4 linked regions of the Struthio camelus genome follow. The protein of the gene in region 1 purifies or fractionates together with the protein of each later gene. This does not show direct contact. Links are inferred from orthologs where the notes say so. Each region holds a gene or a part of one and is shown on either strand. Other genes may lie near its edges. The genes, in order: RNF7, ASB7, RAB40B and TULP4.

Evidence for each region.
Region 2: the proteins of RNF7 (region 1) and ASB7 purify together in Homo sapiens (co-immunoprecipitation; 4 studies listed by BioGRID and IntAct, with this or other methods). This does not show direct contact. The link is inferred for Struthio camelus from reciprocal best matches to the Homo sapiens genes RNF7 and ASB7.
Region 3: the proteins of RNF7 (region 1) and RAB40B purify together in Homo sapiens (affinity purification with mass spectrometry; 3 studies listed by BioGRID and IntAct, with this or other methods). This does not show direct contact. The link is inferred for Struthio camelus from reciprocal best matches to the Homo sapiens genes RNF7 and RAB40B.
Region 4: the proteins of RNF7 (region 1) and TULP4 purify together in Homo sapiens (co-immunoprecipitation; 3 studies listed by BioGRID and IntAct, with this or other methods). This does not show direct contact. The link is inferred for Struthio camelus from reciprocal best matches to the Homo sapiens genes RNF7 and TULP4.

What each region holds. Positions count from the first base shown.
Region 1 is NC_090950.1:15,210,139-15,217,235, reverse strand, and holds the start of RNF7 (RING-box protein 2), read right to left. Parts: upstream 3,012-7,097; 5' UTR 2,957-3,011; coding exon 2,779-2,956; intron 1-2,778. UniProt on the Homo sapiens protein: Catalytic component of multiple cullin-5-RING E3 ubiquitin-protein ligase complexes (ECS complexes), which mediate the ubiquitination and subsequent proteasomal degradation of target proteins.
Region 2 is NC_090953.1:4,621,744-4,629,446, forward strand, and holds the start of ASB7 (ankyrin repeat and SOCS box protein 7), read right to left. Parts: upstream 3,005-7,703; 5' UTR 2,924-3,004; intron 2,076-2,923; 5' UTR 1,981-2,075; intron 1-1,980. Other genes in the region: LINS1 (protein Lines homolog 1), read left to right, coding at 6,611-7,018, 7,107-7,196. UniProt on the Homo sapiens protein: Probable substrate-recognition component of a SCF-like ECS (Elongin-Cullin-SOCS-box protein) E3 ubiquitin-protein ligase complex which mediates the ubiquitination and subsequent proteasomal degradation of target proteins.
Region 3 is NC_090960.1:10,853,280-10,861,249, reverse strand, and holds the start of RAB40B (ras-related protein Rab-40B), read right to left. Parts: upstream 3,002-7,970; 5' UTR 2,909-3,001; coding exon 2,767-2,908; intron 1-2,766. UniProt on the Homo sapiens protein: RAB40B small GTPase acts as substrate-recognition components of the ECS(RAB40B) E3 ubiquitin ligase complex which mediates the ubiquitination of target proteins.
Region 4 is NC_090944.1:77,701,023-77,708,829, forward strand, and holds the start of TULP4 (tubby-related protein 4), read right to left. Parts: upstream 3,004-7,807; 5' UTR 2,906-3,003; intron 2,884-2,905; exon of another isoform or gene 2,810-2,883; intron 1-2,809. UniProt on the Homo sapiens protein: May be a substrate-recognition component of a SCF-like ECS (Elongin-Cullin-SOCS-box protein) E3 ubiquitin ligase complex which mediates the ubiquitination and subsequent proteasomal degradation of target proteins.

The sequences.
Region 1 (7,097 bases):
CCTAAAATTTAAAAGAGTGCACACGACACAAGGAAATACGTATCTGCAAGAGATCAGAAGGACTACAAACTGTTCAACAACTTTTGTTTATTTTCCATTGCTTCAGTATTTTCACAACTTCTGCTGAAAAAAGTATTCTCCATTTTGCAGATATGACAGCCAGATTTGTGCCAAGGCACTCGCACATACCAAGACCAGAGCAAGCGCATAGCCAAACCCTAATTACAGGGCTTTGTTTTTCAGATGCCAACATCTCCTTTTAAGGAAGTCATTCAAAAATTTGATGGTCTTTAGCCTCTACATCTCCCACCTCACCCCCACCTACTACTACCATTTTTTTAAATGTTTGTTTTCCTTAAAGGATACCTGCTTGTAATTTTTGCAATACTGACATATGCACACAAACTATTTTTAAACACTGATCAGTCTGATAGCATAAATGAGGAGATAAATGGGGAAAACATCTAACTAAAAATATTTATCTTCTTTGTACGCTCCAGTCTCTGTGCCTACAGGTCTAGATGACAGATTCAGGATTACAGATGTACTAGGGACAACTTCCAGGCTTTGTACCGGGCCACACAAATACAGAGGAAGCATGCCTTCATTTCTCCTTTGCTCCAACTTGGACTGCCACAGACACGCATGCACAGATCGTGCACAGCAAAGCGTTCAACTATTATGGCAGCATACACAGTGCAAACACATCTTCATCTCCTGCAAAGGAGAGGTAATCGTTTAGACAAAAGCATCCCAGAGGCTGGACTGGGCCTGCAGGTCAACAGCTGGAACATTGTTCTACAACATACAGAACTGACATAACACAGGACTTTCAGTCCGAGTATTTCTTCTTTCTCTACCAGATACTGCAAGGTGCTTCTATTTCAGATTGACCTGCCAGATAGTCCTCCTTTTTCAGCTAATACAGAAGGAAGAGCATCCAAACTTTTAAGTATTTGTCCTTTCCTCACGAAGATGAAAGAAAGGCAGTAAGTAAAGTTTCTTGTTTTCTATTATGATAATTCCATAGCATCTAGGGGTCAAACTGCAGTGAAGATTCAGCCAAACTGCTTCAGTTTACAGCAGGGCACATCAAAATAAACTGATCTGGAGTCGCATCAGTATGCTGGGTAGTAAGCTGCGGTGGGCTAGTAGCTGCTGTAAAAGAAGCTTACCTATTCCAGCTCTGGGTTTGTTTCAGACAAAGAAGCAGCACGGACAGCTGAGGACACAAATCACTACACCTGTACCAACATAAGCTGCCCCCCAACTCCTGCATCACAATCCTAAGGGTGTTAGTCTGTGAAAGGTTAAATAAATTAAGTCAGTACTGCTGCAATCCTGCCCTTTCCAGACAACGCCTCTGCATTGCTGCTTCTTTCCCCTCGTGCTTCTGTGATCCTTGAAGCCCAAGTTGGTTCAAGGAGTTAAACCAGTAAAGAAAATTAAGCCAGCTCACATTTCCTTCCCCTGCAAAAAAAAAAGGCAAACCAACCTCAGATATGCAGAGCCAGCTCAAGTCTTGCTCAGCCTCCAACCTAAGGCTACTGCAGATGCGCTGGATCTACAGCAGCCAGACCAGGTCTGGCAGGGGTCAACATTAAATTGCTAAAGGTGGTAATAATAAAGTTTCACATTCAAAAAATCTGGTTTGTGCTAAATTTAAAAATTGTTCATTTATAATTTTTCATAATTAGACCAAGGGAGTATTTTTCATCTGAAATCATCAGAGAAAGCCGATAGCCACTTTTAAAAGTTTTCGTAAAACATCTGGATGACTTTTTGAGGACTTTTTACACTTCCCTTTAAGTGGAATGATTGTTTTTGTAACAGTCCTGAGTAATCAAGTGAAGTTGCCTCTCCAGCAGTTCTGTTTTCTCATAAATCATAGAGTAGCAGTAACAGCTGGAACAGGCAAATTCACTCCTAAAATTACGGTTTACTTTTAGCAGATAAAGCCAATTTCATAGTTCTGGGCTGGTCTCCATTCACCACCTGAGAGCAGGCCTGGAACAACTTCAAGATACGCTCAGAGAAAAGGCCGGTCTCCCACCGCCTCAGTCTGGGCTGTGTCTTTCCTGCAGGACACCTGCGTGCTTTTTCTGTTCCAACGACCCTTCTCCGTAAAAACACGGATCTGAGAAGTGGCTGCCCGGCACCTGCCGCGTCCCCAAGCGGGACCAAAGGTTAAGGCCAGAGCGGGCTGGCGCGGCAGGACCTCAGGCGACCCGTCGCGCCGAGCGCAGCCCCGCGCTGCCGACCCACCCAGGGGCTCCCGGGCAGTTATGTCGGGGATGACTCAGCACAGAGGCCAGGGCGGATACAGAGACACAGCGGAAGAGGAATTTACGGAATTTCCAAAGACCCAAAGCGGTCAGAAAGCACGAAGGCCAGCCAGTGAGGAGGGCTGCACCCGGAGAGAGTCTCCTCAACGCCAGGTAAGCGACGCCGTTGTTTTTCGCTGCGCTTCTCAGCGACGGTGCGCGCGGCTACGAGCGCGCCGCCGTCCCTCCGCTACCGCTTCTTCAGAAAGACGGGCGCCGCGCGTCTGCCCGCTCGGCCGTAACCCGGCCGGGCCGCGCTCGCCAACGGACGAGAAGCGGCCGGGGGGGGGCGGGGGGGGCGGGAGGCCGCCCCCCGCGTCTGCCCGCCCGCCCCCGCCGCGAGGGGAAGCGGCGCGGCGGCCGGGCGGGGCGGGAGCCGCCGCCGGCGACACCTCCCCCGCGGCGGGGGCGGCGGCCATGGCGGGCCGGGCCGGGCCTGCCGGGCGGCGCTTACCCATGACCTGCACGCGGCAAATGGCGCAGGTGTCGCACTCCACGTCCCAGCTCCACATGGCCACCGCGTTCCACTTCTTCAGCGAGAACATCTTGTCGGCGGCGCCCGCCTTGGAGCCCGAGGAGCCCGGGTGTGAGTGGGAGGCCCCGGGCTCGTCCCCGTCCTCCACATCGGCCATGGCGGAGGGGCGGGGCGGCGGGCGGCGGAGCGGGGCCGCAGCGCCACCCCGCGGCCGGAGGAAGGGCCGGGCCGGGCGGCTCCGTGAGGGGTGTCGGGGCCGGGCCGGGGTCTGGCCCCAGCTCCCTTGGATAAGACCAAGGCAAGCAATACCCATAATTATTTTAAAAGAAAAGAGGAATTTGGATTCCTTTCCTCACCTTAATCCAAAAAAAAAAAAAAGTATATAAAACTCATTCTTCCAAAATAGCGCCCCATCTCCTTAAGCCTACTTTGAAGTTTAATGTAAATTTGTTAATGTCGAAATTCATGCACAAGTTGAAAAGACAGACTGCTATAGTTAACATGAGGACAAACAAATTAACGGGAGTAATTTAAATTTTACAAGCAAAAGTTAGAAACAGCGTACCTTTCTTTTCCTCTTCTCAAGAGCTTCCAGTGCGTCGGCTGCACAAAGTTCTCCGAGCGTATTGCCAGCTGGGGCGTCGTGCTAACTTCAGAGTACTTGATTAGGCTGCGTTTAAGAACCACAACACTTACAATCTGTTCCAATAAGATACAATGTCATGGAGTTACACTAAAATAATGTGTTATATTAATAGTATGCATTTAAAGGAAATTATGCTTTAAATTATTTTAAGCGTCAGATGAAAACAAAGATTTTAAGGACAAAATCTTTGGCAGCACAAAGGAGACACAAAGGGTGTCTCTCTCTTATACCCAAAGAAACGGTACAAGCCTCCGCCGTCCAACAGGTACGAAGGTAGCATAACAGGACTGAAAATGAAATTCCACCTACTTCCATTCTCTCCTGTTCTCTGGAGCAGTAACATCATCAAAATCCTGATTCAACAGGGATTGGATTAGTTTAGTGCATTTATCTAGTTAAAAATTTCTGGTCTACTGTCCTCAATATTATCAGGCTATCACGTCCCCGATGGTTCACTAACATCACAGGAGACAGAAACCCCAGGGAGCTGCATTTCACTACATCAGTGATCCTGCTTAATTACAAAGAACCTATTTGTTGGAGCCCTCCCAGCCCTCTCATGCCAGCTGGGACACCGAATACAACGAAGCAGAGGAAACCTTAGAGTACTCCCATCACTCCAAGTGATTCCACTTGTATAAGTAGGGCAAGTTGGGTTTGAATATCTGATTATTATAAATTGCATAAGGAGAAAGTAATTATTTGAAGAAAGACCAGTTTCAATTTCTGTTTTAAAGTTTGCGAGGCTGTTAGTGTGGGGCCCAGAATTATTAAACAGTTTTCCAAACGTTAAATGCATGAAGCAAACAGAAAATCCCCATTTAAAAAAAAAAAACAAAACCAAAAAACCAAATAATTTTCTCAGCAGCTTTACATATGTATGTAGCATTTACTTTTATATGTCGTTTAGGACGTTTCTGTGGAGGTATACCATAAAACACTCCCATATCCCATAGCACAGCTTGAATGTGAAAGATCAACAGTGAGACATTGCAGATGTGGATGGACAATACTGATTCACCTCAGCTTGTCCACAGAACAAAAAAACTAAAGGAAAAAGTCTTCTCTGTCCCTAGTTCTGACCAGGGGTGGGCTGACAAACCAGCAAGAAAACCCGAGCTGGAGCTAAGACTTCTCATATCCGCTTGAGTAGAGAGAAGGGAGAGAGGTAGCTGCTTTTCTAGGAGAGCACAGGTTGTGTTTCTTTGGAAAAAGGTGCAGTAAGGAACAGTTTGCCAGAAACAGTTTCCATAGCTGGTTCAGGAAGTGGTTGAGACTTAAACAGTTCTACTAAGATGGACTGCTCGGTTTTACTAAATTTTAAGAACAGTTTAGGGCCATAACAGCTGGGAATAACCCCCATGAGGAAAGGGTAACTGGAGCATAATACATTTCTACCATTTTCCTACACTACCAATTGAAAAAATTACTACCAGAGGAAATCTGATAAGTTTCAGCCCCTCTTCTGACACTGGAACAATACAGTAAGTAATAGTAACAATAATATTAAAAAAAAAAAAAACCTATATTCTCATCCTAAATTCTAAGCACGTAGCTTTTATGATCTTTTAAACATGGATTCTCACTCTGACAAAATATGACTATAATGCTGTATATCGTTTTAATTAAATATGCACTTTATAAAAGTTAATTTAAGAAAAAGCAGTTTTGGCTAGATTACCTGAATTTTATGATCCATAATCAATCCCTTATTTTCTTCACCTTCAGGAACTTGAAAACTTTTATTTGTAAAACTCATAATTGAGGCTCTAAATCAGAACTGTTCTTACCTTCAGTTATGCAATGTTAAAACTCACACTACTCCGGCACGCTAAACAAAGACTTCTTTTTGCTTTCTCAGTATAGCATAAAACAAGGGAGTTCAAGTTGCTGAGAAGGAAATCATTTCCAAGTCATTCTGTGGGCCATGCTCAGAATGAATTATTTCTGGAGTAAGTGGTACACCTATCCAGCTTTCCAAGTGCCGTGAAGTAAGTGTGAATAGAAATAAAAAATTTTCACCACTGAACATCAGGTGAAAAAAAAAAAGATACTTTGCTCCTATCTTAGCTGGTTCACACTGCTCTCAATCCACACTGTCCAATTCCCAAATTCATAGTCGGCAGCCAGGGAAAGAACATTACTGGCTTGATGGCACTGAGCCTCTGGCTCAGCCAGAGTTGAGAGATCTGTAAACTTGGGAGGACCCACCATATGTAGCTGTGAGAGACTCAAGCTGCAGCATCATTATGCTGTATAGCAGAGTCTGAGGATAAACTGGACTATAGATTACGCACCAAAAAAACCCCAATCTCTATTTCCCAATCAGAGAGAAATACAATTAACCTACAGTGAAAATATTTAGATGCAAAACTGCTTCTCTCTCTCTCTCCCTGCTGACCTATCTTACCACAAGGTCTCTCAACAGGCTCTTAGCAGCTATCATATTTTTACTGCATCAGGAAAGAGAATATTAGAAAAGATCAACGACAAGGTTGTAACAACTACTGTAGTCACACACTTGTACTTCTTAGATTCAATTCTTTGTACCTGATCATATTCCTCCCTCCCCTGTTAAACTGTTATGGCACTTGTGAATCTGAATTAGTGGGACTAGGCATGATCTAGAAAAGTTTAAAAACAAATTTTGAAATTTGAAAAGAAAATGTATATGTAATTTTCCTGTCTCTGATGATATGTCTTCTTATACCTTTTCACATGGGTGTTTAATAATTTTAACTGGATCCTTGAATTTTGAACATATGTTTGGAAAGTAAAAATTTTCTGAAATTGAAGCACATTATTTCTGCTTTGTAGAGTATCAGCTGCCTCTCTCCCTATTTTTTTTAAACTTACATGATTAGCTGGATTGCTTAGGTGAATTCCCAGATACATAATTCTTTTCCAAAAAATATCATTTGTCTTTAATTGTTCTTATCAGAGGTGAGAGGGAAACTAGATGCAATTCTCCTCTTCAGTTGTAAAAACTCATTAGAACAACCTATAAGACAAAATGTAATTATATTTGGATGCCATCAAGATGTAGCACATTTGTCATGCATTTTGCAAATGCAAATATAAAATACACTTTTTAATAATTGGGCAATGCAAGTTTTAACCTGTAACTGTTCCTGGATTTCTTAATTTCACAGTGCTATAAGCAGCTTTTCCTGCACAACTGTGCAGGGTGCACTGCAGCTGAAGGGAGAGACAGCAACAAGTGGGAACAACGGGAACTGCTCTGTTGCTGACACGCCAGGGATAGAAAAACAGTCTGAAGTCAGTAAAATACCAAAGGTGGTCAGCAAAAACAATTACGATCCCTTCCTCTGGTCTTTGCACCTCTCCCCTTCATATAAGGGGCCATGAGGCACTACCAATTCCTTTCCTGAGCCTCCAGTTCAACAGAGATACAGTTCTGAATTGGTTCAGAAAGCCTGAGATGTCCTTTCATATAGGGCAGGGGAAAGAGAGACAGAGAGAGGGACACAGCAGGAGACATTGCTTTCAATAATTAGCGTGAAGGAGATGAGTTTTAAAACTATTTTTTCCAAATAAAAAAAATTAAGTGTTACCTCCTTTTTATGTCCTGACTAGCCTCCTCTCACCTCATCTACTCATACGCTCACTGTGTATGGGCCAAAATTTACAT
Region 2 (7,703 bases), on another chromosome or scaffold:
TATAAAGCTCATTTCATTCAACAGTCTCCAGAAGACTTAAATTTGCTCTGTATATTTTTTTTTAAATACTGTGTAAGAGTCTGAGAGGACAAAATTCATTAGATGACTTCAGCGGATAAAGCAACAGTTTTGCTCTCTGATAGTATCATTCTGTAAGCAAATTCTGGAACAACGGAAAACAGACTCTCAGTACATTTTCTTTAAGGGTTCAGAATTCACTGTAAGAAAAAAAAAAGAAAACAACAAAATGAGCATATAGCCTAAAGATAAAAGCAAAGTCTGGATGTGCAACTTTATCTAAGGGGATAGCTATACTTGCAACGTGCTGCATTTCCTCCAGAGAGGAAGAGCAGGCCTTCAGCACATCATTTACCTTTGTTCCCCGTTTTAACCATGCATACATGTCTGCCAGAAGCTAGTTCTCCAGTTCCTGTAAACTCAGTTTCAGTTTCTGCTTCTGGATCAAACTTCACTGCATTGGCATTTCACATTAAGGAGCTTCACAAAATCAAGTGAACAGTTGCATTTCATTCCGTGAATAAATTCTAAACATCCAAGGATTTATCAGCACCAGAGGTGTCCTGTTTGAGTAGCTACAGTAATGCAAGCTTCTATGGTTAGATGCACAGGATGGGTTGTAAGGAGAGCTATAATAAACCAGCTTCACATGAAATAGGGGTGACGTAACTGCATTGAAAAGTTTGCACTAACGTACATTCATCTTGCCTATTATATCGTTACCAAAAATCTCTCCTGCAATTACACTGGACACGTTCACACGCTCCAGTCTTACACATGTGTTTTTATAATAAGCTATCAAAATAACCGGAATATTTCATCACTGTATCTTTAAAATGCCTCTCCAAGCTTGTGGCTTGCGTTACCAGGAAATGTCCTACTTAATCTTTGAAGTTTAACAGCTACTCTTCGCCATACCCTGAAGATACCTATATTAGAGAAATGATCCATCCTTGACCAAGGTTGTTGACAACAGGTACTGCTCTTTCCCCTGCAACTAATGCTAAAAAAATAATTTACCGTAGACAATGAAAAACATTATGCTACAGTCAATGACATCTCTGAAAACATGACAAAGACAAATAGGATGTATACTGAGGATATATTTGCCAAAGTAACACAGGCTCATCTACATTTGAAATGGATTTAAATGGGTTCAGTACAGACTTTACATGAAAAGAATGAGCAGAAACTCCATTACTCGGAGCGTACTAAGAGCAGGACGCAGAAATAGGCTGATAGACATCTTGAGTGAATCTTCTTACCACATAGAACATGCAATTTGCCCTATGAACTCTTCTTCCCCTGAAACTCAACCCTTCTCATTTTAGCAGTAGCATTCCATTTTTGATATCATGTTTCATATTTTAAAGTATCTAACAGTATTATCTTCTTCTGTGATGTCAACACAAAAAGCTGGCACTTGTAAGCCAACACCCACCCAACTAAATGAGTGTCAATTTTTGCAGCTGAGTTACAACACAACGCAAAGAGCCCCTGATACATGCAAAAGTTAGATATACCTGAACCAACATAATGCAATTACCGTGGCCTACCCCAATAATGATTTTAGGCTCAGAGCAGTTACTAGAAGTCATGTGTCATACCATAAACCAGTGAAAAGGCTATAAGAAAAGACCCTTTTAACTACCCAGAGTAAAGTAATTTTAAATGACATTCCTGAAATGAGGAACCACAAAAAAACATTATGCAGCAAATCATAAAGAAAATAACGTCTGTAGATTAAATTTAGAAAATGAACAGAACAAGAGAGAGGAACAGAACTTCAGCTGGCCTTTAAAGCTTTTGAACTTTTAAAGCACAAAAGCAAGTAGTTTTAAGAGAGGAAAGAAATCTAATGCTACCTATTCAAATCTATCAAAAACATTCACAACAAGAGGCCCCAAAGCCAACCAAACCACATGTCTAGGATGATTTTGGAGAGTCTACATGAATTATCACCTTTTTTTTATTTTTTTGAGTGCTGCTTTCTCTCTTCTGTCTTATTTTGTTCTTCAGAGATGCAATTTTTAATTCTTCTTTAAGGCAGCTTAAATCTAAAGAAAAAAAAAGAAAAAGAAAAAAAAAGGAGCACTAAACCATGTAATGACATAAGACAGAGAAATGGAGAGTAAAAATAGTTAATACCAAAGCAATAACGGGTTGGAACAGGAAAATTCTTCAAAATTTAGGAAGGAAAGGGTTATTTACCCAAACCGGGACCTCAATTTGAAAAGAGGAGCGCTCTCTCAGGACACCCAAGAGTTGGAAGGCCCACAACAGCAGGACTGCTAGCCCTGTCAAGCCCAAGTCTCAAGGGAATTGGAGTAAAAGGTAAGCGTTAGAGAATGGGACAGGAAGTAACCCGCAAAGCAGAGCTGCTGGGAAATCCAGTCGCTCCCTTGCAGTTAGTAACTGCCTCAGGACCCGTCCAGCGCACGGAGAGAGCTGGGCGAGCCGCAGCGCGGGGCTCCGGGGCCTGGCAGCGGGGCGGGGGGGGGGGGGGGCGAGCCCGGGGCGGGGGGGAGGGAAGCTGGGGGCGCCGGGTCCGGAGGGCCCGGCGGCAGAGTGCAGTAGGGGGCGGGCCCCCCCCCCCGGGAGCACGGCGGGGGCAAGCCCAGGGCCGGGCGGGGTGGGGGGGGGCGAGCAGCCCTCTGCCCCCCCCACCGCGGGGGGAGAGGGCTGAGCGCCCCCTCCTTGACGGGGCGGCGGGGGCGAGGAGCGGAGCCGCCCCCCCCCCCCCGCCGACGAGGGGCTTCCCGGGAGCGGCGCAGCGAGGCCCCGCCGCGGGCCAGGGGGTCGCGTCCCCCCCTCCCTTCCCCGCCCCGCCGGGGTGTGGGGGGGGGGGAAGGCTCAAAGCGGACGCAGCTTTTCCCCCCCCCCTCCTCCCCCCCGCGGCCGTTACCTGTCTGCCGCCGCGCGGGGGGGGGGGGGGGGGCGGCGCGCGCCCGCTGCCTGCGCAGCCGCCCCCCGCTCTGGCGGCGGCGGCGGGAGCGGCGGAGCCGGGCGCGGAGGGGGCCGAGCCGTGTGGGGACACTTTGCACCGAGCCGCCCCCCGCGGCTCGCGGCGGGGTCAGCGGGCAGGGACTGACCTCCGCCTCAGCCAATCCGCTGCCGCCGAGCTGGGCCCGCCCCCTGCCGTGCGCCGCCGCCGCCTCGGGTTGGGCGCCGGGCTGACGGCGGCTCCGCCCACCGCTCCTCCCCCTTGCCGTAAAGGCGCTGGGGAGGGGGGGTAGGGTTTTGCGACAGAGAAAAGCCGGGGCGGGGGTGGAAAAGGAGAAGGCTATGGCAGCGCCGGCGTTTAGACGGAGGAGAATTGGGCCTTACCGCGCCCTGTCTCCAGGGGGCGGGTGACTCGGAGCGGTTGCCTAGCAGCAGGGAGAAAGTAGTGGGGGGGATCCGTATGCGCGGCGGCTCGGGGTGACTAAGCGGGGCCGCGCGCGCTGCCAGGTGAGGGGAGGGGGAGCGAGGGGCGGAGCCTGGGTGGGGGAGGGCGGGGGCGCGCCCTTGTGGGGGGGGGAAGTTTGGGGTGGGGCCTGGACTGCGGAGGGCCGAGGGGGCGCGAGGCCGAGGCGGGCCGGGCCGGGCCGGGCCGAGCCGAGGGGCGCGAGGCTGAGGAGGCGCGAGGTCCAGCCCCCCTCAGCTGAGGGGGCTCGGAGCCGGCCTGGGCGAGCTGAAGGGTCGCCGGGCCGGGCCAGGCCGGTTGAGGCTGCGGGGGAGCCGCTGAGGGGAAGAACGGTGCGGGGAGCTCCAGGGCCGCCTGGGCCGAGGGGCCGCCTGGCTGAGGGAGCAGGCCTGCGGGCCGGGGCTCCTGTCGCTGGTGGTGAGAGCGCCGGGCCAGGCCCTGCCTGCCGGCCCCCGAGGCACTGGGTTACCCGCCCGGCCTTGCTCCTTGTGCCGGCTCCTTTGGGGCAGTGAGTAGCCTGCTCTCACCTCTCTTCCCTGTCAGACTGCAGAGTGGCTTTTAGCCAAGTGTTGCTACTCCTAACCCGCCGGAGGCAGCAGTGCTAGAGGTACAGTAAGGGTCCGGTGACGTCTGATCAGGCCTCTCTGGTCCTGTGTGCTGCAGTGGGTAAAGGTGCCTGCTCAAGAGCAGGTTAAGCACCTAGCGTGCTTAGGTGTCAGAGTTAACTGTCTGGAAATGGACAGCTCACGGTAGAGGTTGTTTGCAGCCTCTGGAAGGAAATGATACTTCAGAGGCGATTATAGTATTTCAGCACTGAGCAGAAGCATATTCTTTAATGAGCGATGAACCTACAAAGTCACTGTAGGTACAAGTAGATCAAAGTATGTTTTCTCTGTTTTTTACCCATCGTGTCATACGGTGATCCAGCGCCTCCAAGCTCTTACCTGTTAAGTCATGCACCATGACGGCATTCTCTGGTTTTATTTTATGACGATAGTTTTTCTCCCGGTTGCTATTTCTGTGATAACATTTAATGGTATATGCAGCAGGGAAAGACTTATGCAGTGTAGGGATTTGACAAGATTTTCCTTTCATAATGCCTGTTCTTCACTGATACCTTTGAGTAATCATAGTGTGTTATTGTAAGCCATTCATGTTAGTAAAAAATAAGAAAGTAGATGCAGCTATCATATTTCAAAAGTTTTATTTTTTTCCAGTCAAACCAATGATTTATGTGAATTCAGGCTAAATTAAGCCTCTCACCCTGGAGAAATACCCTGATTTTATAATTCTATTTTAGGACATTCTGGGGGCATTTGCAACCACTTAAACTTTACTTATTTGGTTTATGTTGATCCTTAAACCAGGCTTCAGCTGCCATCTGAGCTTTCATTTCTATTCCATTATTTCCTTTTCCATCAAATTTCTTCTCTCCTTGCTATCTGCAGCTCCACGTGACTTTGTTTTTGATTTTAAAGCCTAACTAAAATAGACATGAAAATAATGTATAGCAAAATATTTATTCTCTTTTTACTGTATGGTTTTCCTTCCTGCCTGATCTGTCTGTATCTTAGCTCTTTAGAACTGCTCTCTGTTGTTTGTGCAAGTGTCTGGCACTGTGGAGCCTTATCTTCATTGCTTTTTAGATGCTGTCATGAATAACACAAATAAATAATACAAGGAAGGGCTGGAGTTTGTCATTTCTTGTTTCTGGGTATGATTGCTTTTTTTACTCTTTAGCTTTGTGCTTTTCACTGTGCTCTCTCTTACTATGTCTGAAACAAATTTAGTCGTTTGACATTCCCCCCCTCTTTCAAGTAAATGTCTTTAATTAGTAAATTTAATTAATAAATTTCTATATACAAAACAACACCCACTCCCAACTTGGCAGTAGATAAAGATAATGCTTTTCTTTTAATAAAAGGGTTCTGGGTAGATAATGTGTTAAAACTGTCCTGAAAAGACTGATATTACAGACTAGCATTACTCTTTAAGATTAACATGGTTTCTTTTTCAGCTGTATTAAGTATATTGTTGTTGTCTTCTGGTTTTTATCTATTTTTTGTTTTCTATCTAGCCGCTTTTATAATGACTGGAAATATGTAGGTGCTTAGCTACTCACACTTGAAAGCAGAGAGAGCAAGATTTTTCTTGAAAGGTTTTCATTTTAAGCTGTCCTGAGTCTTCTCATGCTATTCCAAAATGTTCCATTGACTTTGTGATCAAAGATTTTTCTGTTCTTTAACTTTTCTGAATGTGGTTAAATATTTTTACTGGCTTTCAACACTTTGTTTTTTTAAGTAATTTCTAATTTTAAATGTCTCAGTCACTGGTCCCTTGAGCCTACAGGCCTGTAGCATTGTTGGTCTTGTGCATCTCTTCTGGGTTACAAGATTTAGGGGCTCAGAACGAGAGTTCTGCAGGCGTAGATGTAAAGGAGTTCTGTTAAGTGTTTCGTTCCGTCCTCCTTACTAAATTAAGAGCCCAGTTCTTCCCTCCAGCATATTCATGTTACTCACCTTGAGTCTACGTGCAGCAGAATAGAAGATTTGTTCTTTAGTCTCCATTTGTTGTTTCTTGAGAAGTGTTGCTCTGCACAATCTTAGTGGAGCAATAAACATTGCCTGTTCAAATAAAAATTTGTTTTTGGAGGAATCCCAAAAAAGAAATGAGGTTTCGGAAGCTGTAGCTATGTAAAGATAGAGGAAGGCTTGATCACAATTTTCTTGTGGTCTTAGATGAAGTCCCTAATAGTAGTCATTCTTGTTTGCATTAGGCCCAGCAAATCAGTCTTAGTTTCAGTAGTATCGTACTTGGGACTATAAACTTCTTCACTACATGGTCATTCTTGTAAAGTTACGCCATTTAAATGTCCCATTGGGAAAAAAATTATGCAACTATTAGTTTATCACTCTTGCTATTTAAAAACATAGCGTATATTTTCACGTGATGTTTAGTAAGGGTAGTATTAACTCTAAAAATGTATGTAGTTCTTCTGCATCTTCCTGCTTATCTATTAAATTCAGTAACAATGGAATATTTATTTCTAGGTATCTTAGAAGAGAAATGCCTAATAGTGCTTCTGTTTCTCTTACTGGATAAAAATAACTTCAAAACAAATTTGCAGTGACCAGGAATAATCAGTGGAGACATAAGACGTTCTCCAGAATATTTATTGTTCTCATTATGGAGATGTCTCTGCTACAGCAGATGTATAAGGATGTACTGGTAGGCATTCCACTAGCAAAGGAGAGCCGTCATTATACCTCTTTCCTCAATCTGTGCACTGAACAGTCACCAGAAAGAGATGAATCGTGTAATCGGATGCATCTGCCGTCTGCTAATAGTGGTATTAGGAGCCATCAAGACCCTGATATTTCAGACACCGTTGTCCTTGTAACAGATGATGTATCTAATAACTTTGCAAATATGAACTCCTCGTTGTGTCCACGAGAAGTGATGCTGCTTCAGTTAACCTTGATCAAGATGATGGTGGCTAAAGTACAGTCCCAGGAAATTGAATTCGATGCAAGACGGAAGTACTGTGATATCTTTGTCCTCCTTCTGAAGGAGACAAAAATCGACTCAAAACTGGTAAGCTTTTACAAACTTTTGGAAGATTTTTATGAAAGGGAAAAAGGGAATATAACTTAGATACTTTATTCTTTTCACATGTCTGCAGATTTGTCTCCTCAGTAGTTCTGATCAGCTGTTATCTCACATGGCGTCAAGAAGTTTAGCGTCTCTTGTGTATTTCCAGCTGAAGGAAGAGGTGAGTGTGAGTATAACCTTCCACAACTTAGAAACGATGAGTTAGTGAATGTATGCCTTCAGGTTCTTCTATTTGACTCTAGAGCCGCCTTTTTGTAGTGCTTATATGGCACAAAAGCAGGGACTACATGACTACAGTAAAATCTATAAGTGCTTCTTAAGATGTGCATTCTGCGATTAGACCCATGGAGAGACATTAGGACTGCTCCTTTGCTGCATCTGTTGCCTGCGTGTCTATTATGCTCTAACTTTCTGAAAGGCAGATCTACAGTCTGTTGGTGTTCAGCATGAAATATATGTTAGTTCCCTCAAAATGTCATGCAGTTCTGTTGAGCTGTCTTTAGACCCAGCATCAGGAACAAGGTGAAAGCTATACAAAATAATGCTATATGATAGTTCTCCCTTAAAGAGCATCTTAAGGGGTTTGGGGTCAGGAACGATTGATAGGAAGGATATGTAATAAATATTCCAAGAGATTTTTTTTCAAGTGTGTTAGGAGATGCATGAA
Region 3 (7,970 bases), on another chromosome or scaffold:
AGTGCCTGTGAAAAATAAATTTGTGATTTATAACCAAAACATTTCAGATGAGACAGTAATACTGCTGCACACAAAGCCTTCAGATGGCTTTTTGTTCCCCCTTTTAAAAACCTGTTCTAGTCAGCTTCAGGTTTTACTTTATGTTCATCCTCTTTGTCTTCTCAACTATCTTTGACCCTGCTGAAGACAGCAAACAAAGAAATAAAAATACCCCTTGATAGTTATTTGCTGATGAATCTTTCCTCACTTAGCCTTTCTTCTGCCTCTCTTCATATTTGTGGGGGTTCATTTAGATTCTCCTTTTCAAGGAGTCAAAAACCGTTCAATACCTCGACCTTTCCTATAATTCCTCTACAAATACTCTGTCCCTCTACTTTTTAGAGCACTGACAGAGCATCTTCCTGCTACCTCCTGTTGTTTAGCACAGGAAAGAACGCTATCGCTACCAAAGCTGAATTCTAACTTTTCTTCCTCAACTCTAATGATGCTGTTGCCCTTCCTGAAACCCATCCCTGTAACTTTAAGGCAGTCTTTCCATTCTGTCTACAGAATTGGTAACAATAATCTTTTCTCTCTGAACATTTACAGTCCTTTTCCAAGGCCTCATCTTTCCTTCATCATGACCACCCTTGGCAACGCATTCTTTCCAACCTTCTCACCATTCATATTGCCACCTGCCATCTACTCAATGTCAACAGCTAGAAGAGCCTCTTTCCTGTTGGTATAAGCGTCAAATTCTGTCTCTCTTGCACGTGCAAATTTAAACAAAAAACTGTCTGAATTCCCTTGCTTCACCACATTAAGTCAATTTGTTTGTTCTCCTTTTCGAGGCTCTTCAGAACTCTGCCTCTCTCTTCTCAAATGCTCTTGTCTCTTACCCTATCACATCTCCTTTTTCATTGTGTTCACAAAGCCATTCCCATCCATCAAGCTCTATAACAAAGTTCTTGTTACTTCTAAGCCTATACACGTGGCACATTTTGACTGGATCTATCAGACCACTATCCTTTCTCTTTCCAATTCAGAGACCTAGTCAGCATTATGAAAGTGGTAGAAGTCAGCCAGTTAACTAAGGACTTGAAGAGGGAAAAAAAGAAAAGATCCACCCACAACACCAAACTCTATCAAGCTGTTCAATCAAATTAAATTACAAAGTGAGTCATAACACCAACAGGATGTTTAGTTTAGTTTTCATGAAGAAAAGATGAATTAAGAGAGAGAAAATAATTTATATGAGCTTTCACAACTAAAATTAGAAATTACTAAGTAACACTGGACAGTATGTTACAGTCGTGTAAAAGCTGAAGCTCAAAACGTACAGAAGTTCTTAATAATAACACCAGTTGCACAAAACGTGAAGTCAGATTATATTCCTTTCCTGTTTTACTACACCATCTGTTTTAGCTCCCCTTCTCTTCTAACTCATTTCTTCATATCCCTCTCTTCGAACATGCTTCTCATCTCCCTTCACACTCTGAAACAATGGCCTTTGCATTGCTCAGTTTACTTACTACTCTGTGTTTTTTACTACTATCCTATATATTTTAGAAGTTACTAAGAGAGATGAAGAATCTCCAAGCTGTATATTACATACTTGCAAAGTAAGTTCCGAAAGAATATTTCTATTTCTTCGCTGTCGAGAAATCTATTTAGAAACATAGTGTTAGGCACACAATTTAAATAAAGTTTAAGACCAATACACAAGCATCACAAGGTTTACATGCAAATGTCTGAAGCAAGACTGATGAGCTTGGGAGGTGCTCAAACATTCCCCCTCAGTTACATCAAGACACATCGGAGACTAAAGTGTTCTTTTGGCATAAGAATTTATAAACTACGTTGTGCATGCAGAACAGGGCCAGACTGGGCACGCTCTCCCCAAGCCTTCCTTCCCTTTCCTCCTACCACTTCACGATGGCCCAGCAGGAAGAGTAAAGAGACTGCTACCTCCCAAGGACTAGTTTAGCAAAGCTATTGAGCAAACATCCTAAAAAGCACATCAATACCTTCACGATACCGTCTGACTCATAAGCAACCATACAAATAATGCTCCTTGCCCCCTCCGCCTCACTTTTTTGCCTTGAATACGTACCAAGAGCTCAACATAATAACAGAACCTAAGCCACCGTAAAGCCTTTCAGTGAATTAATTGGACACTTTTACTGGCAGTAATTTAAAGCAATGGGTAATTTTACAGGATAACTTGCCTTTTAATATGCTGCATTACAAATGCGCACAAAGAGGAAAAACGTGAAACTAGGGCTGTGCTCTAGCAAAAGGAGATGGGGGAGTAAAAAGGATGAGGAAGGGGCAGAAGAAGAGAAGTCTCCTTTTCCCCAAGCCACCAGCGTAGTTTCAAGTCAGCCTGCGACGTCCACCGCTCTGTATCTCGCAGGCAGAACGTATCTGCCATGGACGCGGCTCTCCAGGCTCGAGCTTTAAAACGCCCAAGTGAAAGGACGAACTGCAAACGCGAACCTTGATCTTAAAGGGCTCCTCTTCTGATATGAAAAACACGAGAGTTAAAAAAAGGAAAAAAGGGAAGGAAAAAAAAAATTCTTCTTTTCTACTCTTCCAGTGAAACCGGACAGCGAAACATCGCGCGGCGTTTGGCTGCCCGCGGCCCCTTCGCTCCGCCGGCCCCCGGGAGCTCCGCGCGCGAGGGGGGAACGGCAGCAGCGGCCGTTTCCGCGCGCGTCGCTCGGCTGCGGGCCCCGGTGCCCCGAGCCCGAGGGGCCGCGGGGGGGGGGGGGGGTCTCGGCTTACCCATGTGGTAGCCGTAGGGCGACTCGGCGGCGCCGTCCTGCAGGCTGGCCAGGATCTCGCCCTTGCCCACGTCGCTGTCCCCCACCAGCAGGAATTTCAGCAGGAAATCGTAGGCTTTCACCGGGCTTCCCGCGCGGCTCATCCTCCCCGCGGGCTGGGCTCGGCTCAGCTCCCGCCGCCCATGCCGGGGCCCGGCGGGCCGAGCTCACCGCGGCGGCGGGCGGCGGGCAGCGGCATGCCCGGCGGCCGCGGCGCGGGCGCTGCCGGGGCGCGGGCGGCGGGAGCCCGCCGTGTCAGCGGCGAGCGGCGGCAGCGCGCGTCATGTCGCCACGCAGCGAGCGGCTCCCCCGACGGAGGGCCCGACCTCCCCGCCCCGGGGCGAGCAGCAGGCGCTCGGCGTCGCTCCGTGCGGCCGCCGCCGCCCCGCTCCGCTCCCCCCGGGCTCACTCAGCGCGTCACGTCGCCGTCGCCGCCGCCGCCGCGCGCGCTGCCCCTCAGCCGACCGAGCGGCGCGGAGCCTGCCTCCGGCCACGGCGCGGTGACAGGCTCCGAGCCCCGCCCCCTCGCCCTCCTATTGGCCGATTGGCTGGCGCTCCCGCCCTCTCCAGCATTCATTGGTGCTCCGAGACATTATCCCCGCCCCCTCCCCTTCAAGGGAGGGCTGCGCTCCCACCGCTTTCGCTCATTGGTGTACCAAAAGGCACTAGCCCCGCCCTCCTCGGCTCCCATTGGAGGGAGGCAGACCTCGACCGCCCCCCTCCTCGTGTTTCCAGCGGGACACAGCGGCTCAGTTGCTAGGTGGCTCTAAGGTCGCCGTTGGTTCGCTCGCTCATCAATCACACTCGGTCTCGCCTCCCCGCTGGAACGGAGCTGTTTGCCCCGCTGCCGAGTCGCGGCGTGTTTACAAGGCAGCAGCGCGGGAGCCCGTGACGGAGCCGCGAGTTCGAGCCCAGCCCCTCCAGCGGGGCCCGACAGTAACTGCGGGGGTACCGCCCGCGGTAAAGCCGGCCGCTCTCCCACGCGTTTGCGGTAACTACCAAGTATGCATGCAAATGAACGCCCCTAGGACTCAAGTACAGCGGTGGGGCAATGGTGGTGGGAAGGCTTTGTGAAGTAGTGGCAGTTTATGGACAAGGACGAGCGTTCCTGGCTTTGCACCAGCACCCGCCCCAAGCAAGGTACCACACGTCGCCCTGCAGCAAGGGGACCCAAGCCATAGCTACAGGCTTTTAAAGTCATTCATTCTGTGGACTTCAGTCTTGCTTTTACGACATTTATAGCCTGAAGAGGCACATACTTTTGCCCTCAGATCCACATCAGTGTTGGCTGGTCTTGCCCTCTCCCGATCCTCATTCAAATATTACTGTAGAATCACACAGAAATCCATGAGAATGAGACTGGAATGGGATGTCAGCCAGCCTGAGCTTTCCTCCTGATCCTGCAATCCAGCCTGGTGATATATGCACATGAGAACAAAAGCCTATTGCCTTCCTTGATAATACTGCAAAGCATGTATTAAAAGCACTACATAGGAAGCTGAGGGAGAGGGGTCATCTTTGGAGTAAGTGCTCACCCTTCACATGCCATTAACAGCAAAATAAATTCAGCAGGTTTCTAGACTGAGCTGCATCAGTGCATCATATCCAAACCCAGGTGTCAGACCAGTAGGAAAAAAAAAAACCACCAGAAACCTACAAGCAAGAGAACAAAAGCTTACAGAAAAATCTCATTTTTTAAACTTTATCATAACACACATCTTTACTGCCTAAGCTCTGTGCAAAGCCCTTTACGACCTTCTTGTCAATTGCTTGTAGCATATCTGTCAGCAAATATAATTTAAAAATTTTCTTGGAAAAAATCTTTTTAACCCTCAGTGATTTCCAAATAGTGTCAAATTGGTGCAAAGTAAGTTTTTAAAAAGACAGAACCCCTCCCCTCCCCAACCAAAATAGAGCTGTATGCACCAAGTTCCAGTATACGTAAAAGTTACAGCTCCATGTAGGGTCTTAATGCCCTTGTTTTACTGAAGAAAAAAAAAAATCCACCCCACTTTGCCAAAGCACATCTAAGTCAGAAGAATCATATACACAGGGCTTACTCCGGATTATCTGCAGCCAGACGTAAGCCCTAAATTGAAAAAGGATCTACAACTATGCCTTACATTTCTACTCAAAATAAAAGAAAAACAAGTCCTTGACTAATAAAATCTATTTGCATGGGAATGATGCAATACTGGTCTACTGATTCTTAAAAAACAACAAAAAAACCCCCCCAAAACTCTTAACACGCCTATTTCAGGACTGCAAATAAAGCAGCAAGCTCAAGAATACTGCTATAGCATTCCTTAGTATTTTTAACACAGTGCGACCTGAAGAGTACGTACAAGATATCCTGTTCTGTTCCCCTATGGACACCAAAATACCACATTCCCAGCTTCAGACAGGCAAGTCTCTTTCTAGCATACTCATGCATCCAACAGTTACACCTCTTTATAATCCAGTCATCATTTATTGGAACCAAAGTCCTCTTGGAGGTGGGGAAGATAAATTTGCAACAATAAACTACAGTTTAAGGGCTTCTTTTACTGTAGAAGTTAGCATGCAACAGAATACTGCTTGAACTGTTACATACAGAGAGAGAGAGAAGTGTGCCTTTCTTCCAGATGCTTTATCTGTCAGAGCTGATTTTTCAGTTTTTACTTTGAGAGGGACTATGCAGTTGCAGTAGTCATTCGTACTTTTGCAGTGGAAGCAACGCTCTTGACAGTTGGAGGACAGCCCTGGGCATCAGGAAACTAGCGCTCTAACCCCAAGTCTAACGCAGCCCTCCTCTATGAATTTGGACAACTTCCTCAAATTCTTTATACCTCAGCTTTCCAGTCATATCAAAGCTATTTGCTATAAGCAAAAGAGCGTCATGGGATTTAAAGCACAAGTTTCAGTGGAGTCCTTTGAGATGTCACAAGAAAAACATTAAAGTGCAAACTAATCCTTCTATCTTGCTTTACTGAAATTCTATTTATTTGATTTTTCCAGCAGTTCACCAGGGAAGAGTGGAAAAAGAACCAAACCTTTTCATAACAAACTCGACAATTAGAAGCATTTGGTTTTTGTTAATCTGAAGAGTTACTTGCTTGTCAATTGTTTAAAAAAAAAAAAGTAGAAGTAATGCTTTTTCAGATATCTGTTTTGATGTCACAAGTGCTGGAACTCTGGCATGTTTCCACTTTCCCGAATATTTCCACTTATCTGACAATTACATGTAAACATGTTTAGAACACAAATCTGTGCCAAGCCCAGGTTTATTTTGAGGGAAGTTCACGGTTACACTTTATACAGGAACTAGTCAGCTAGAATACACCCACAAATCTTTAACCCATCACCTGTCTGAATAATACAAAGAATGCATTTACTAACCCACTTTCAAGCTTTAAGATATCCCTGTGAGAGGCAGGCTGAAAGTACTCGTTTTTTAAAGATTAAGAAATAATGATATGCATGTTACTCTTTTACCATGCCAAACAAAACTAGGCTAAACATAAGTCAGAGCTGTAAAATAAACAAATACATAAACAATAACAACAACTTCTTGATCAGGATGAAAAAAAAAAAAGACTCTCAAACTCTTGCATCCAAAGTGGCAGCTACATTTATTGGAAAAAAACCCACTTTAAAAAAAAAAATCCTTGCAAAGAGCATATTTTCTTCTCACTATTAAAATGACCCAAAAATGAACATCCTCCCAGAACTTCATGCTGAAAGGCAGAAACTTGGAAAGCAAAGAAACCCAGTGGTAATACGGCATACTTTGCATCTAAAAGAGAGACAGACAAACTCCAAACATTAAACTCTGAGGACAAAAAATTTCTCTGATTTTTCTCTCTGCAACAAATTAGGTAGATCAGGTCCTCTGCTTCAGTCTCACTTTTATTCAGATTTTGCCCCAAATTATGCCCCTGGAATCACTATGGTTACAGTGAAAAATTAATCCATGAAAGCATCAACTCTGCAAATAAACAGACATCAATGACACTGCTCCCAATGTCGTTGCATTATCAGACAAACGGCTAAACTCTGCTCTTAAGGCCTATCTCAGTTTGTTATTTTGATGATGATGCTTTTAATTCCATTTACATTTATCTGCTCATACAGCTGATCTGAAGAATTTTTGAAAACACATTTCCATCCCTTAGGGTGATTTATGTTTAAGAGAAAAACAAGCAGTAACAACAAATCTCCATCACTGTCATAATTATAAATCACCTCTTTCTGTAATGGAAGTTCCTACATCCTTCCCGAACCACCCTCTCAGCCTTTCCATTTTTTTTTTTTTTTTTTGGGGGGGGGGGGCAGGGGGGCAGAGAAGAGTCCATAGCCCTTTTGTCATATGTTCACACAAATAGAGGCTTGCAGCCTGAAAAGCCCTAATGCATATTTTCCATTTATAAATATATACCAACCCATAAAAGGCTGCACATACCAATTACCTTTTCTTTTCTTGTACATACTGTCAAGCAGTAAACAGAAATTAGCAGCTGCAGTGCTTTTTTATTCAGGAGGTGTGTATCAACGGATGACTCACCAAATAATTTGTAGCCCAGTATGCCAGTTGTCTTCTCCTCCACAGAAAGAAACACTATTTTAAACAGAAAGTTAACCACTGTGGATGCTGCAGGCAAGCCAACGGGTTTGGTGAAGCCCAGCAGCACAGAGGGAAGGGGATGGTCCCAGAAACATATTGCAAACACTTTTAAAAATACTCAAACGGAAACAAATGACACATGGAGCAAAAGAACAGAGGTGGGGAAGAAAAGATTATTGCAAAGTCAACCCACTCTGCCACACGGCCTTTTGTGGTATACACTGCCTTCATCTCAGCAGGCAAGACCTGCACTGCATTAACAACTTCAGTATATGGCTACGCTTTTTTCTGGAAGTACTTTCTGGAAGTACATTTGGGGCATGACTCAATAGTTTATTTCAAACAGGGGTCAGCAATTTATGGCACAGAGGCCAAAGATGGCAAGCAGCAGGCGTACTAAGGGCTTGGAGCAGGGACTCACAGCACACTGAAAAGAAAATCTGTGAGGCAGCAGCCCCCAAATCCTGGTTCTCACCGAATTCCAATATGCATAGGATTTGGGAGCCCGTGCCTCCTGCAAACAGATGCCCTGTAGCATCTTTGGGAAGGCAATGTCTTGTGGG
Region 4 (7,807 bases), on another chromosome or scaffold:
TCAAAAAATGAAATGCAAGATTCCAAATCACTAGCTATGATCAGCTCTGCAACGTGGAAGAGTGAAAGTGAATGAAACCAAGGAGATACGAGGATGTCTGGCCATACAAATAACTCATTCAAAATCCCCCTCCTTTTTTTTTTTTTTTCCCCCCCCTAATAAATATCAACAGACATCTGTACAAACTCTCTTAGCAGCCACGCTCCTTGGTAACTGAACTGGAGGGCATGTACCATTGTTACTTCAATCACCTGAACAGAGGCCTGTCCTGAATCATTCTCTAACTCATCAATGAATTGGGTTAAGTCTTCAGCAGGGTCCCTTCTGCCATTAAGCAGAGACTTTGTTCTACCTAACAAAGCGCAAGCTTAGCTTCCAATCTGACTATGGAAGGTACAATATAAAATGACCTCATGCATCATTAAACAAAACTAAAATTTTGTAACACAAACCTGTACTAAACAGAAATATGACTTTGTGTTTTTACCATAAGGATGGAAGTCAAACATCTGATCTTATTGTTAGGCCCTTTTATACAGAGTTTCTTATATTGATCACAGGCAGACAATGACCGAATAATTATATAAACACGTGCACTGACACATCTTAGAAGAACTATAACTTTTTTAGAGGATAGTTATAAACAAAACCAATTTTACTTGAAAGTTCAGCTGAATCAAATATTATTTTGTGATTAAAATATGATTTAATGGGCTAATGGGAATTACATTGCAACAATTTCCTTGGTGTAAGTTTACGAGGAAACCATTTAAAAATCTATGCATTAACTTACTGAAAAAGATGAATACTTTAGATTGTCCATAATGTGCTCAGTATAGTTCACAAACTGAGCAGATTTTTTTTTTTAAAGAATAGTTGCATATTTTGTAAGGGTCTTACAATAAACATCCATTGTGGAATTCATTCCCATGTAGTCAATCTGTTGCTAGAAGTGACAAGAAGTACTATATTAAAAAAAAAAAAAAGTCTTTCCCTGAAACTCATTCACAACAACTATAGCTGTCAGTTTTCTAAGCTGTTTTTAATCTTTTAAATATCTATCTATCTATATACACATATCAACCTACTACCTCCTTTCAGTCCAAAAACTGACAACGACCTCCTAATTAAGGCTCCATCCAGGGAGGAAATACTCAGACTTTTTTAACAGCAGTTCTGCTTTGCTTGACATTCATATTGCCTATGAAAAACGTGGCAAACTCTGGCAAACTTTCCTTATAAGAGCAATTTAGTTAACTTCATGTCAGCAGCTCCTATTTCTTGAAAACAGATATCTTAAGTTCTAAGTCTCAAATTTTACAACCTATCTGTAAAGCCATTAGGAAACAATTTTATTCTTTACAGCTCCCATATAGGCCAAAAACTCAGATGTACATGCCTCTTACCTAACCTATTTAAAAACACAGTATGTTGCTGATGAAGCAGTAATCCTTGGACAGGCAAATTCCACCCTGGCAAAATGGAAGTGCCTACAGGAATTGCCTGACTGCAATTATATTTTTAAAGACGCAAAGAAAGATTTTTTTCTATTCAGAGACTTCTGTCTATTTGTTTTTTGAAAGCACGTAAATCTAAGTACTGGAAGAAAAAAAAAGCTCTTAAATACTTAAACATCACATCTAACATAGGAAGTCCCTTGACCTCAAACTGCTGGAGACCTGGCTGGTTTCCCAAAGCTTCACTACATGATCACCCGGTTGTTATACTGTTTCCTAGGCATCTGCTATTTGGCACTTTCAGAAACAGGATATGGCGCTAGACGGACCTTCAATCTGGCCCCATAAAGGTGTTTCCACTGTATGTGTCAATGTGTAATTCAAAATTAAGTACTGAACTGGTAAATGATTTCTGCACTTTTTAGCCAGCCTCTAGCAAGCCAGGGCGCTCAAACACGTACACATGTGGACGTTTATGGAAACGCATGATGTAAAGGCACAACACAAAAGAACGTAAAGGAGTTACATTTGCTAGGCAAATTTTACAATACCACCGGGTAAATTTCCAAGCCGTCTTCCCTCCCCCTCCGGAGGAGGAAAGAGGAGGGAGGAGGCAAAAAGGGAAAAATAAGATTAGCAGCGACACAGACAGTGCGCGGAGGGTCACAGGTGATGCAGGAGGCAGCCTGGCGCTCCCGGACCCGCCGACCCGCACCAGACCCCAACGGCCGCCGCCCGCCCCGCCCCGGACCCCAACGGCCGCCGCCGCCACCGCCCCGCCCCGGACCCCAACGGCCGCCGCCCGCCCCGCTCCGCGCCGGGGGAGGCAGCAGCCGGAGGAAGAGGAATCTCCCCATCCCAGCACCCAGATTTCGGTGCATCCCGAACTACAGGAAGAAAGGAAAAATCAGGTTTCCTAGCCAATCGCCTGTCCTTTAGTTTTTGAGACTGGCTGGGGGAGGGAGGGGAAAAGAAAAAAGGGGGAGGGGGGGCTGTGGCTCTCTGCCCAGGTCGCTGTGAATGAGGCACGCCGGAGCAACGGCTAAATAAAGGATGTATATACGTTCAGAAGGTGTTCTGTAACCACAGCACAAAATGGACTTCTTTCCCAGCGGCTGGCGCTCTTTCTCTCTCTCTCTCACACGCACAGGTGCCCCACCGGAACAAAAGAAAAACAGCCCCGGAGCCGCCGCGGCCCCGCAGAGCGCCCAGCCGGCCCACGGCCGCGGCCCCCTCACCTGCGGCCCGGCCGCCACACCCTGCTCCGGGCACAAGGGGAACGGGGCACCCCCCACCCGCCCCACCGCTGTTGCCCTGCACCGCACGCCGCCGCCGGCTCTCCCCGCACTCACCTCGGCGGGACGCGGCGGCCTCCCCTACGCCCGCCCGGCTCCGCGCGCCTCTCCCTCCCCCGCCCGCCCGCCCGCCCGCCCGGCTCCGTCTCTCACCGCTACCGGAGCGCCGGCGGCCGCTGCTGCTGCTGCTGCCGCTGCTGGGCCCGACTCCTCTTCCACGTGACCCCGCCACGTGACCACCACACTTCCCCGGGCCTGGGCCAGGCCCCGCCCCCGCCGCCTCCCGCCCGTGCGCGCACCCTGCGCCGCCGCCGCCGCCGCCGCCCCTGGCTGCGGGCCGCAGCCCGCTGGTAGGGCCCGGGCAGCGCGGCGGCGGCCTGGCGTCGTCAGCGCAGCCTGGAGACACATCTGACGCCCCCTCGCGTCCGCGTCGCCCCCCAAGCCCGCTACTTTTTTCCCTGAGAAACCACGAGAGAGCGGTTTGGAAAGCCAAGGTTATAGATCGTATTGGGCCTTAGTTGATACCAAAGCACTTAAAATTTGCTTTTCTCTGCTACCTGCTGAGCTAAGAAAGAGGGAAGGAAAAAAGTTGGTGCCCGGAGCTGGGACGTTAAGTCAAATAACATGTCTCACAGTGCTCTTGGGGAAAAAACAAAGGCACTGGCAGCACCACAGCCCTAGACGTTGACATAAACCAAAAGCCACAGCGAGCGAGAAGTAACCACGCTGGCTAGCAAGCGGGACGAGCAAACCCATGCTGAAGGTAACCTCTGCTCACAGAAAATAAAAGCCTGCCATAAGAGACCGAGGGGATGTCTGGTGAGAGAGAGCGCAGTTATCCTTGACGTTTGGCAGTTCAACATACAGCGCAGCCACATCAACGCTACAAAGCCAGGGGGCTCAGTAAGGAGAGATTTGCATTGCAAACACTTCAACTCTTCTCTGGTGGCACGTTCAGTTCATATTGCATTTCTTCAGAAAGGAGCAATAAGAGGCCAAAACACAAAAAGTGCTCAACTTAGTAATTTAAGGAAAGCAGAAACACATCATAATTATCAGCTCTAAAAAGGCCATCTAAACAACAGCACAGCAGCACGAAATTAAAAGGCCCAGTCCGCTACTATTTTTGGCAATGCCAACTTATTGACCATTTCAAAAACTGAAAAGGTAAAAAGGTAAATATTTTTCACTATATTCCCACACATCTATTCCCCAAAGCTTTGTAAGGATTTCATCTTGCAACTTTAGCAAGAGGAGGCCAAGTTGTGCCATAGGACCAGCTACATCTGTGAAAGCCTGAAAGACTGAAGCCTAGGATGCTATGTGTTAGAACTAAGCATGGATTTTTTATGCTGGTTTATCTACTTCTCATTAAGAAAAAAACTTGCTTCTTTTATTTAAAATTTTCAGGGTAAAGCCTTGGTCATCTCTGAACATGCGATAATAGTCCTGTAGCTAAAGTGCAATAAAATGGTTATCAAGGAGTTAGGGCCCCATTTCTGAGCATGTCACAACAGTCACTTTCAACCTGTGGTCCATGGAGAACACAGTTCCTGAACTACCTCCAGGATATCCGCAAATATTAACAACAACAACAAAAAAAGCTGCCTTATTGGCAGACTTAAATTTGTTATACTGGGATCCCTTCTGCAGTGGAAAATTGAGGGGCCAAAGCAGTTAAAACCACTGTGTCACTGAATTCTTTTATCATATTGTGTATTTAACTTAAGCCATCTGTGTCTTAGCTCAATTCCTAATTTATAGGCTATCATAAGGATTAACATTTGATAGTAGAGCAAAAAGCACAACAGAAATTTTTCCAAAGCAATAACAACTATAGTTCTAACCCAATTCGTAATCCTGTCCTCTCCACACTTAGCACAGTAGTCTCATTGTGCTGCCTATTAGTCCCTTTCCTCACCTGTAACAGAAGTCTTTAGTAGCTGGGTTCACAAGAAAAACCTACTCCTGATAATTGTTCACCAGCCTATACAAACTGTGATCATGACTTTTTGAGAGTCACCTTGCAACAGTCCTACCCATCCTGCAATCTACTACATGCTGAAGGAAAATACACAGGAAGAACTATCTTATCAGCCCTGGCGCTCATTCTATTAGCATAAAACATTCTTTTCCAAAAAACAAATTCATCATATAAATTCACACAGACACACAAGAGTCTCTGGAACTAGAATGGGATACTTCAGACTATATTTAAACCTTGCAACATGGGAACAACCCCTATCTTTTGCCTCTGCATGTGTGAATCAATAAGTCCTGATTTCACATCAGGATGAGACTACAGCACTAGTTCTTCACCCATATACAGAAAGGGAGTAACAGCATGCTCAGATCACAGCCTCTATTATTTATAGCAGTATCATATGCTCTTTTAAGTCCATCCCACAGAACATTGCTGCTCTATAAATGCAAAGGCATATCATAATTGGGGAAAATACCTCTACTGCACTGTATCAGGCTTGTGCAACTTCTATTTTGTACTTATTCTGTGGCTACACTTAAAGGCACGTATTCCTAGGATAGTCAGGCTGTCCAGCATTTTAATATCCTCTTAATTCACACTCCAAAATATTTTAAAGTAAAAAAATATGCAAAATCCAGAGAAACCTTGAAGGGGAGAGAGCCCTTTCCTTCACTACGTTCTAATCATCCTCTTCCTCTCATGTAATCATCTTGACCTAAAGAGGCAATTTGTTGTATTATTGGCTAACAGCATAAACATTTGCATGGTGCAACTGCAGCATTCAACTTACCTGAAGTAGTACAAGCAAATGAAAAGCTTACTCTAAATTTGTGCCATCAAAATCTTCATATCATACAGTATTCTTAGTTTTATTATGATGCATAATAAAAACTCCACATTTTTGTAAAGTTGTGTTTTTATTCACTTCTTAGTATTGTTGATCTAAAGAAAGGCTTAGTTATGGTCCATCTAAATTGATGGGATAATAAAAGATCAGTAAATAAAGTGCACAGAAAAGTTTGTAAATTCATTTTTACTATTGGAATATTCTGAATTTAAGGTCAAAGGCAATAAGATATGTGCCTTTTCAAAAGGAACTCAGCTCTGTTCAGTTAAATTATAGCCAGGGCTATGGTTTTATGTCTCATCCAGCTGTTACAGTAAGTAGCTCCTCCCAAATCTGTCCATTTCTATAAACCATTAATCCCATATTCACAGCCGTTCCTTCTAAGGAATCCCAGGCTGGCCTCTTTTCCAGGAAGATTTTCTTATAATACCTCATACTCTTTAAAGGCAGACACCTTTGCAGTAACTAATTATGGCGATTCAGGAAGGCAGATGGCAAATCTCACTTTGCCTATGAACAATTACATGAACTATTTTTGAATGTGGAAATTTAAAAAAAATACACACACACACACACACACACAAGGAAACGATGTTTTTAACTCCCTTTCCCTAGTCTGCCCAACCAGAACATCTAATTTTTTTTTCTCTCCAGATAAGATATTCACTCTCCCTTTCTCATTAAATATTTTCATTTCAGACATGGATTTTCTTTTCTATCTCATTCAACTTCTCATCATTTCTTCCCCATTCACAAGCTCACTCTCTTTATACTCGTTTATGCTCATTTATAGAACTTGGGTGTCTTGAGGCAAAAACTAAAACACAGGACCTACTTGCCTTCCAAATACAAGCAACTACAAAGCACTAGAAAAAGAACAAAACAGTGATTTCTGCAGGCATCATCCTTCTGAAATTGGTGTGCTGATAGCTCTCTATATAGTCTTTATATGTAAAGTCAAGGGTTTCTTTTTTTTAATCAGACAATCACTTCCTAAAAGCATTCCAGATGCTCCATCAGAAAGGAGAAGCATACCCTGAAAATCAGAGGTAGCCATTAAGTTCCTTTTCAATTCCTTAGTTTAATTTTTTTTTTAATGTCTCTTTTGGGGATGTAGCTCTTCATGTTCAAACTCATTCCAAGGATAGTTTCTTTCAAAGGTGGAGATCTATTAAGTCCAGATAACTAAGGGTGGAAAAAGCAAAACAAAAAAAAGGTCTTGAGTTATCCAAGGGAAAAAAGTGACCTGTTTCTACAGTAAAAAATATTCTTACCTCTTGCAGGTGCAACTCAAAAAGCAGGTAAGGGAAATAAGTTCAACACTGGCATATAGTTAAGTCCACACTGAAGCCTTGTTGTTATAAAAACTCATCAATAACTTAGAGTTGAACAAACTAAATATGCCTAAGTATTTGCAGGACTGACATCTTCGCCTTAAAAGTTCGCCGTGACTTTCTGTAAACGGGCAACACAAGAAATGACTTGACACTGTTTCAGTTTCAAACAGAGTTACAAAGGGAAATCCTATTTGTACTTTTCATTGCTTTGATGCAATATTTAAGACCTGCATTTTTTGTTGTCGTTGGCCAATGACCTTTGGGAGGACTGCACTGGTATTGCAGTTTTACAGCTTGTGAGCTGGGCTTCCCAACCCTTAGTAAAAAGCGTATGGAAGGTTGACTGAGCTCAGGGCAAGATTTTGATATGAGTTACTTAGAAACATAGACCAAACTCTGTAGAAAGTCAATTAATAATTACAGGTTTCTGAGAGGGCAAAATTATCCAGTCTCAGCTGCCTCTGGCAGGCAGTACTAGATGAGTTTCCTCTCATGTCCCACCCCTACTAGCCACAGGGTCCAGGAGGGAATTCCGGTATGTTTGCCTAGATAGAGATTCCTTTTGAACTCAGAGTCCCTCAGTGGTACTGTTCTTCAAGGCACTGAAATTTAGCCTTTTCATTCAGTTTATTTCCATTACAAGCTGTTAAAGTTAGTTAAATGGGATGACAAAAATAATCAAGTAAAAATTGTTAAAGGATTCCCAGTTTCACTGATCTGCTCTACTAACACCCAAGAAGCCTTCACCTCAAGTTAAGGTATGAAATTAATCCCCTCTAGTTTTCCAGTCCTACAGAGGGTTTTTCAGCAAAGACAGGGAAACTGAGAAATACCTAGAATACCTCAAAGTAAGAAAAAAAAAGAAAGAAAAAAATTGCTAGATCATC